Struthio camelus: one gene and its partner. The protein of the gene in region 1 interacts with the protein of each later gene in a biochemical or structural test. Links are inferred from orthologs where the notes say so. Each region holds a gene or a part of one and is shown in the gene's direction. Other genes may lie near its edges.

What was found.
Region 2: of the proteins of CDK9 (region 1) and CTDP1, one has a biochemical effect on the other in vitro, tested with the Homo sapiens proteins (3 studies listed by BioGRID). The link is inferred for Struthio camelus from reciprocal best matches to the Homo sapiens genes CDK9 and CTDP1.

Annotation. Positions count from the first base shown.
Region 1 is NC_090961.1:7,658,284-7,662,026, forward strand, and holds the start of CDK9 (cyclin-dependent kinase 9), read left to right. Parts: upstream 1-1,429; 5' UTR 1,430-1,506; coding exon 1,507-1,598; intron 1,599-2,634; coding exon 2,635-2,716; intron 2,717-3,743. Other genes in the region: SH2D3C (SH2 domain-containing protein 3C), read right to left, coding at 354-393. UniProt on the Homo sapiens protein: Protein kinase involved in the regulation of transcription.
Region 2 is NC_090943.1:93,998,511-94,002,253, forward strand, and holds the start of CTDP1 (RNA polymerase II subunit A C-terminal domain phosphatase), read left to right. Parts: upstream 1-1,042; 5' UTR 1,043-1,209; coding exon 1,210-1,559; intron 1,560-3,743. UniProt on the Homo sapiens protein: Processively dephosphorylates 'Ser-2' and 'Ser-5' of the heptad repeats YSPTSPS in the C-terminal domain of the largest RNA polymerase II subunit. This promotes the activity of RNA polymerase II.

The DNA of each region.
Region 1 (3,743 bases):
GCCGGCGCACCCGCACCCCTGCTCCCGGCGGGAAATATTCCCAGGGAGACGCGATCTGCAGAGGGAAAACCCCCGGCGGCATGGGGGACCGGCGCCCGGCTCGCCCCCACCGCGTCCCGGTGCGGGGCTGGCCGGTGGCGGGCTGGTCCCCGTCCCAGCACCCCGTTGCTGGGCGAGCAGCCCTTGGGGTCGCCCTCCACCGTGGCGAGGGCGAAATCCCCCAAATCTTCTCACCCCCACCCCGAGCCCGAACGAAAGCAGAGCCCGCGGGAGCCACGTCCTCGCCCGCGTCCCCTGCCCCTGCCGGGCCGCCCAGGCGAGCAACCCCGCCGCTCCTCCCCACCGCCGCTTACTGAATTTCTTGAAGCCCCCTCGTTTCTGGCTCTCGGCCATGGCGGCGGCGGTGGCGGCGGGGACCGGCAGGGATAAGTTTATAAACTTCAAGCCCTTCCTTGCCCCGCTCCTCCCTTCCTGCCCCCTCCGCCTCGCGCTCGCTCCGCGCTTCCTCCCGCCCGCCCGCCCGCCCGCCGTCGCCCGCTCCCGGCCCCCACGCGGCCGCCCAAAAAAGCCCCCGGGCGAGGACGCCGGCCCCGCGGGGGCAGAGCGCAGCCCCTGCCCTCGCCCGGTCCCCCCCGGCTGGTGGCCGGCGTCAGCGGCGTCGCCGCCAGCGGCAGTCCCCGTTCCCGTCCCCCCCCACCCCGGCCTGGGGGACCTTCGGGTGCCCCCGCCGGGGACGCGCAGCCTTTTTCCGCGCAGGGCAGGGCGGCCCCCGGCCTGGCAGGGAGCCTTGTCCCGGCTTTCCGCCTCTCTCCAGGAGGCGGCACGCGGATCCTGCCGCGCGGCACGCCGGGAGCCATCTCTGCGTCTCCGCTGCCGTCCGGCCCGGATGCTTCCTGTTGCGCCTCTCCGCCTTCGGCAGCCGTTTTAAATAACCCTGGGATAACGTGTTCGGCCCCCGACCCAGGGCATCGCCCCGGGCAGAGGGATCGTGAGCCCCGCCGCGTGCTGAGGCCGGGGGGAAGGACGGCCCTTCGGCGAGGGATAAGGACGCTGGCAACGGCTGGGTGTCTTCGGCGCGTCAGGCAACGGCTGGGTGTCTTCGGCGCGTCAGGCCAGGCTGACGCAAAACCACCCGCTGGAAAACACCCGCAGGGAGGACGAGGGCGATCCGCTGCCGCCGCCGCCCCCGGGGCCAGGGTGCCCCGCACGCGCCCGCGACTTTGTCAGCAGCATGGCCCCCGTCTTCGGGGAGACGTGATGGGAGGGGAAGCGGCCGAGCGCTGTGAGGGAGAAGCCCCGCAGTGGGCTGGGCTGGGCAGGGCTGGGCTGCTTGGGTGTGACTCTCTAGGGAAGGAGGCGGCTGCTAGGCCTCGCCGCCAACATGGCCGCCCCCAGCGGACTACAAGTCCCAGAGGCCCGCGCGGCGGCGGCGGGCGGAAGGGGCGTGGCCTCCGGCAGACCGGAAGCGGAAGCGGGAGGGGAGCGGAGCGGAGCGGGGCGGCCGGCATGGCCAAGCAGTACGACATGGTGGAGTGCCCCTTCTGCGACGAGGTGTCCAAGTACGAGAAGCTGGCCAAGATCGGGCAGGGCACCTTCGGGTGAGCGCCGCCGCCCTCCGACGCCGGGTCCTGCCTTCCTCTTCGCGGCCTGTTCGCCTGCTCCGCGCCGGCGTCAGCCTCGGGCCTGCGGGTCCCGGCCGCGGCCCCTTCCCCGCCCCCCGGGACCGGCCTCTTCGCCTCCCCTCCCCCACGTTAGGACTGGCGCTTTAGTCCCCTTGGGACCAGCCCCCCCCCCCCCGGACCGGCTCTCTTCTCCCGGCCTGTCCCCTGCTCTCCTCCTCACCCTGGGCCTCATCTCTTCCCCCCCCCCCCCCAATTCTTCTCCCCCTGGCCCCGCGCAGGGCTGTGCAGCCTCCCCCCCTCCCTCCCCGGTTCTGGGGTCAGAGCTGCTGCCTCTGCTCCCCTCTGCAGCCCAATTGCTCTGGGTGGCAGGGCCTTTCCCCTGCTCTCTCTCGGCTGAGGTGCCCCTGGGCTCTGAGTGCTCCTAGCTCGAGTGTCGTTTCCCCTGTCCCTTCTCTGGCTCCTGGGAAGCAGTGCACCCCCCTGAACCCCCTTCCTCCAGCTCCTTCTCCCACCCCAGGTCCCCTCTCTGTCCCAGGCCTGCTGGTGGCAGAGAAGAGTTGGTTTTGGAGATGCTCAGGACAGGGAGGAGCAGAGACTCTTCCCTCCTTCTGCTGTGGTGATGTTTTGAGCATCCTCCTGCAGTTTTTGAGAGAGTCCAGCCTCACACCTTATTTTTCTACCACAACATCTGAGATTCCTATTGCCTGGAGTCTGAAAAATGTCCTTGCAACATTCATCTCGTTCTCCCACTGGGCTGGGGATGTGAGACGCTTTAGCCACTGTTCTCCCGGGGGGTGTGGGAGCTGTGTGTGCCCTTGCTCTGGGCTCTGCATCGTCCCAGCCAGTCTTAGTGGCTTTTGGCCTGAAGGGCACCTGGCTGGGTTGGATGGTGGCTCAGCACAGAGCTCTCTCTGTGAAGCTATAAAGTGTTTTGTTTGGTCTCGTTCCTGGTAGGTAGCACCTGGCTCCTTCTCTTGCTGTGCTGCTCATACATCTCCTTCTGCTTTTACAGGGAAGTTTTCAAAGCAAAACATCGTCAAACAGGCAAGAAAGTAGCACTGAAGAAAGTGTTGATGGAAAATGAGAAGGAGGGGGTAAGTGTGAGGAGCACAGCTGTGCTGTATTTGGGAAAGGCCTGGAGAGCGCATAGGTGAAGGCTGATCTTTGGGATGCCAGAGATGTGTTGTCACTCTGTAGGATGTTACCACCTATTTGTACTTCTTTTGCAATATTTACTGCTGTAACGTGCTACATGTTGAACCCTTAAGGATGTGGGCAGGATCTCAGCCCTGTGGCCTGTTTTCCTCTCATACCGATGTTGTGATAACGCTGCATCTCGTGGCTGCCCTACCTCTGAAGGGTAGGTCCTGTTATCGCCTTGTTGGCCGCAAAGCTGCGCGACACCCAGTGCAGCCTAGTAGCTGTGGGGTGACTGAGCTGCTGCCAACGGCTGCTGGGAGGTGACACCTCTGTGCGCATTCATACATCTGTACGAAATCCGATCGCCCCCGGCATGCGTGGGCTTTTGCGTCGGCTGTTGTTCATGGAGGAACTGCCTGAGGTATTGACTGTCCCGGCTGTACTAGGGACTACGCAAAAAGCACATGCTGAGAGTGTGCAGAGAGATGGGGCAGGCTAGGGAGGCACTAACCGAGTAAGCAGCACGGGCTAAGGAGGCCGCTCTGTGGGTCGTGTGGGGCTGTACGCAGCATCCCGTTACAGAAACGCAAAGTGAGGAGAGGAGGGGTGTCTGCATGCTGATTTCACTCTGGCGTCACCCAAAAACCCGTGTGTCATGGCATAATTTCTCTCAGTGACGGTGGCCTGAAACACAGCATTTAGGCAGGTATCTGTCTTTTTGTCTTGTGGCATTTGTAATGCGAGGGCTGGAGAGGAAGAGCCCTGTCCTCTAGGGACTCGGTGTGCTGCGGCCTCCAGGTGCTGAGAGCAGCTGTACCCAGCAGGATCAGCCCTCTGAAACACTGTTCAGAGAACAGGATCTGGTGCAATGGGGAATATTATTATGACAATCCCAGCGTTGGCTTTCTCTTTTGAAGATCTGCTTGCCCTTAAATGACGTGTCAGGGTGCTGCTCAAGCAGGTCCCCTGCTGTGCTGCTGT
Region 2 (3,743 bases), on another chromosome or scaffold:
TTAGCACGCGAGCGTGAGGCTGAGGAGAAAACGGTACTCTGCAATGTGGATGTGGCTGGTGGGAAGCACACCCACAGACCCTTTCCACGGAGAGCTGCCCGCATGCTCGTAGTGACAGTTCAGCCCTTAGCTCTAGCCAGTCCTGCTGTGCTCCGGGAAAATAACTGGGACAAACGCCTGGCGCCGCCCCACAAGGGATATCCCGGTCCGGGTTTGCCGGTTCAGAAGCAGGCAGCACATGCTTGGACTTGAACGACTCCGAGCTCGGGTCTGCCGGCCTCCACCGGCTGCCTCCGTGCCGGTGCCGCCGCCCCGAGGATGCGGAACCGGGCCGCGGGCCAGAGGCCGGCTGCGCTTGCACGCGGGGTGCGACCCTTATGGTGGGCAGAGGCGCGCCCCCTTCCCTCCCTTCCCCTCCCCTCCCTCCCTCCACCCCGGCCGGCTCCGCGGTGAAGAGCGGCGAGGAGCCGCCGCGGGGCCGCTGTACCAGGCCGACACCCTGACCGGCAGCCCCAACCCCCGGCTTCCCGCCCCGCCAACGGCCGCTGACGGGAGGGAGACTACAATGCCCAGCATGCACCGTGCTCTCCCGGCCTCCCCCCCTTCCGGCAACTGCCTCCTGCTTCTGCGCGCTGGCCGGTGCGCGGAGCATGCTGGGGCCGGTAGGCCGCGCGCTGCATGTCGGGGGGCGTAGTTCGAGCGCCCTCTCCCGCGTAGCTTGCCCCACGCGCTGGGGCAGGTGAGGGCGCGCGCGGATCCGGAAATGTGTTTGAAGCGGGGGAGGGACTTAGAGCTCTCTCCTTCGCCGGAGCGGGAAGAAGTGGGCGAAAGTCCTCTTCTTCTTTTCTTTTCTTTGCCTGTTTATTTCACTAATTCTTTCCCCTCCCTTTCCTCTCCCTCCGCCCTTCCCGCGCCGTTTCCCTTCCCTCCCCGCCCGCGGGCGCCGCGGCGCGGCCCGTCCCGTCCCCCGCCGTGCCGCGCGGCGGCCCCTTTAAGGCCGGCCGGGCGCGCGGCGGCCTGCGCCTGCGTACCAGGGCCGTGACCCCGCAACCGTCGGCGCCGCTGGCGACTGTTGAGGGTCCCCCGCCTCCCTCTGCCCCTCCCCCTCCCCCGCCGGGCAGCGCGCGGCGCCCCGGCCCCCGTTACTGACCCGGCGGCGGCGGCCGTTGCCATAGCGACCCCCCCTCCCTCCGCTCGGCGGCCGGCACCATGGAGGCGCCGGCGGAGAGGGGCGGCGGCGGCGGGACCGCGGCGGAGGGCCCCGCGGGGGTGATCACGGAGATCCGGGCGCCGGGCCCGCGGCCGCTGCGCCTCTTGGAGTGGAAGGTGTCGGTGGGGGCGGCCGTGCAGATCGGGTCGCTGCTGGCGCTCTGCTCCCCCGTGCCGCCGGCCCCGCGGCCCGCCGGCCCCGCCGCCGCCGCCCCCCCCACCGCCGGCCCCGCCGGCAGCGGCGCCAGCACCCGGCCGCAGCGGGCCGGCCCGGAGCGCAAGCTGAAAGCGGAGCGGCCCGGGGTGGTGCGGGAGCTCTGCGCGCGGCCCGGACAGGTCATCGCGCCCGGGTGAGTGCGGGGGCCGCGCCGAGACCGGCGTGGGGGGGCGGGACGGACACGGGGGCCGCGGCGGCGGGCCGGAGGCGGGGGAGGCTGGAGGCGGGGACGGACGGGGGGACAGCGCCGAGCCCCGCGGCGGCGGCGGCGGCCAGCAGGTGCCTAGCTCGGCGCCGCGAGTGCCTGGGGCAGGCTGCCCTGAAACGCGGCTTTCGTGCTTTTTCCGTAAAAAGCCGAGATTTGTGCTCCCCTCCTTGCTCTGCCGGGTGCTGAGCTAAAGGATAAAGACCTTGTTTTGTGCCTATTAAAGCTGTTCGTTTATCCAAGGTAGTTGTAGTTGTTACCCTTTCCTGTAGTTACTGTCATAGTAGTAGTTGTTACTCTCCCTCGGCCCTTACACTGCAACGTGCTATTATACCATGTACAGTCAGTCGGGATCCTATGGGGGTGGGGTGGGGGAGAAGCCAACGTGGTATTCTTGATAGCTTCCAGTGATTACAGATGTTAGCTAGGTGATATTTAACAGCAGCTTTCGCCTGCGTTTAAGCCTTGCTTCCTCTTCATGATGATTGATGTGAATTGTAAAGCTTAGTCTGCTGAAAGTGTTTGATCTGAAGCCATGTAACTTCTTGCAAGAAAAGGTTTATCTTGTGCAGTTTTATGTTGAGTAACATGCGGAAAACAGTGGTGTAAGGGGGAGGCTGGGGAGGCGTGCAGGTGAAAGAAATCATTCCCTGTTTCATTGTTCCAGAACTCGGTACTTCACTGTGAACTTTATTTTCAGAGAACTGAGCCGTCATGTATTTCACAACTCTTTGAAAACGGCTCTTACTAACAAAACTATTTGTTATCGTATTATTCATTGAGATATCGTTCTCAGGTTTGGTAGTTTACTGTTTAGTTTGTGCAAAACTCAGCTACTGAAGGGATCGTTTACTGCTTAATAAGAATATTAATGGGAATCAGTGCTGCATCGGAAAAACATAAGTTACTAAATACGATGTATGTAATGCTGGCAGCCTAGATGCTGTTAATACTATAGATGTTTTAATGTATAAGGCCTCACAAATGCAAACTAGATGATCGGATTTGAATTTTCAAAAGAGCAAGGGGTTAAATGCCAGATATTTCCCATCGTTTAACAATGCCTTTGTCTTGATAAAATTGTATATTGGTTAACTTAATTTTAAACTCTTAAATGGCTAATAGTAAGATAGGGCCTCTCAGATTTCTATGTTAAATTGGGCTAATAGCTTGCTACGCTGCACTTCAAGCAGATTTTTTTTCTCAACAGGAAACCACTGAAACCCTCTACTTCCTCTGTTTTATGACAGCAAGTTATTTTCTTTTATTGCCCTTCTCTTGGTTCTTGGGTGGGTGCAGCCAGGCCTAAACTTTCTTGATTGAAAATCAGGAGTATATGCAAAACATCTGTGTACAGAGTCATTCTCAGAGGTTCAAGAAAAAGCATTGAAATTTTTAGCAGTCAGTAATATGAGATGATACAGAGAAGACAGAAGCCGTGTTTTCTCTCGCTGCTGAGAGCACTGTTTTTTTCTGTGGTAAGACCATGGCTTTCCATTTGTACTACATTCGTATTCAGCTCTTGCCACTGGTGCAAGGTGGACAGTCTTTTAATATCTGCTTTAGAACAAGGGTACCATGAATGCTAACTCAGACTAAAAGTATCTGAAAAATACACACTAAAGTTTTAAAACAGTGTATGTGTGATGAAGTTCATCTTGATAGTGCTTTGTGGAAGGGCTGATCAAATTGTCTTGTGTCATTGTGTTGACTAAGCACCTGGGGAAAAAACAAGCACAAGAAGACTTTAGATGGTGAATATAAACAGCTGAAAATTATGCTGGGATTAGCATAACAGCATTTTAGATTTAGCTTTGCTAAATGTAGACTTTTGGACTTGGATGCACCATTTTTTATGCAGTGCTTGTACTGGGTTTTTTCAAAATGGATTCACTTGATAATAGCTTGCTTTGAAACATTTAGAACACGCTATTGTTTTACTGTTGTGTTCGTGGCTTCCTAGCACGCTTGTGTCTTACACAGCAATAGTCAATACTAGGAAGCTAACTTTTAGCTAAACTTTACTTTTCTGTAGTGGTAATTACTGGGAACATGTAAAAGAAAAGTCCAAGTGAACAGATAGTGAAAGGATGTCCTGAGGGTAGTAGAGCT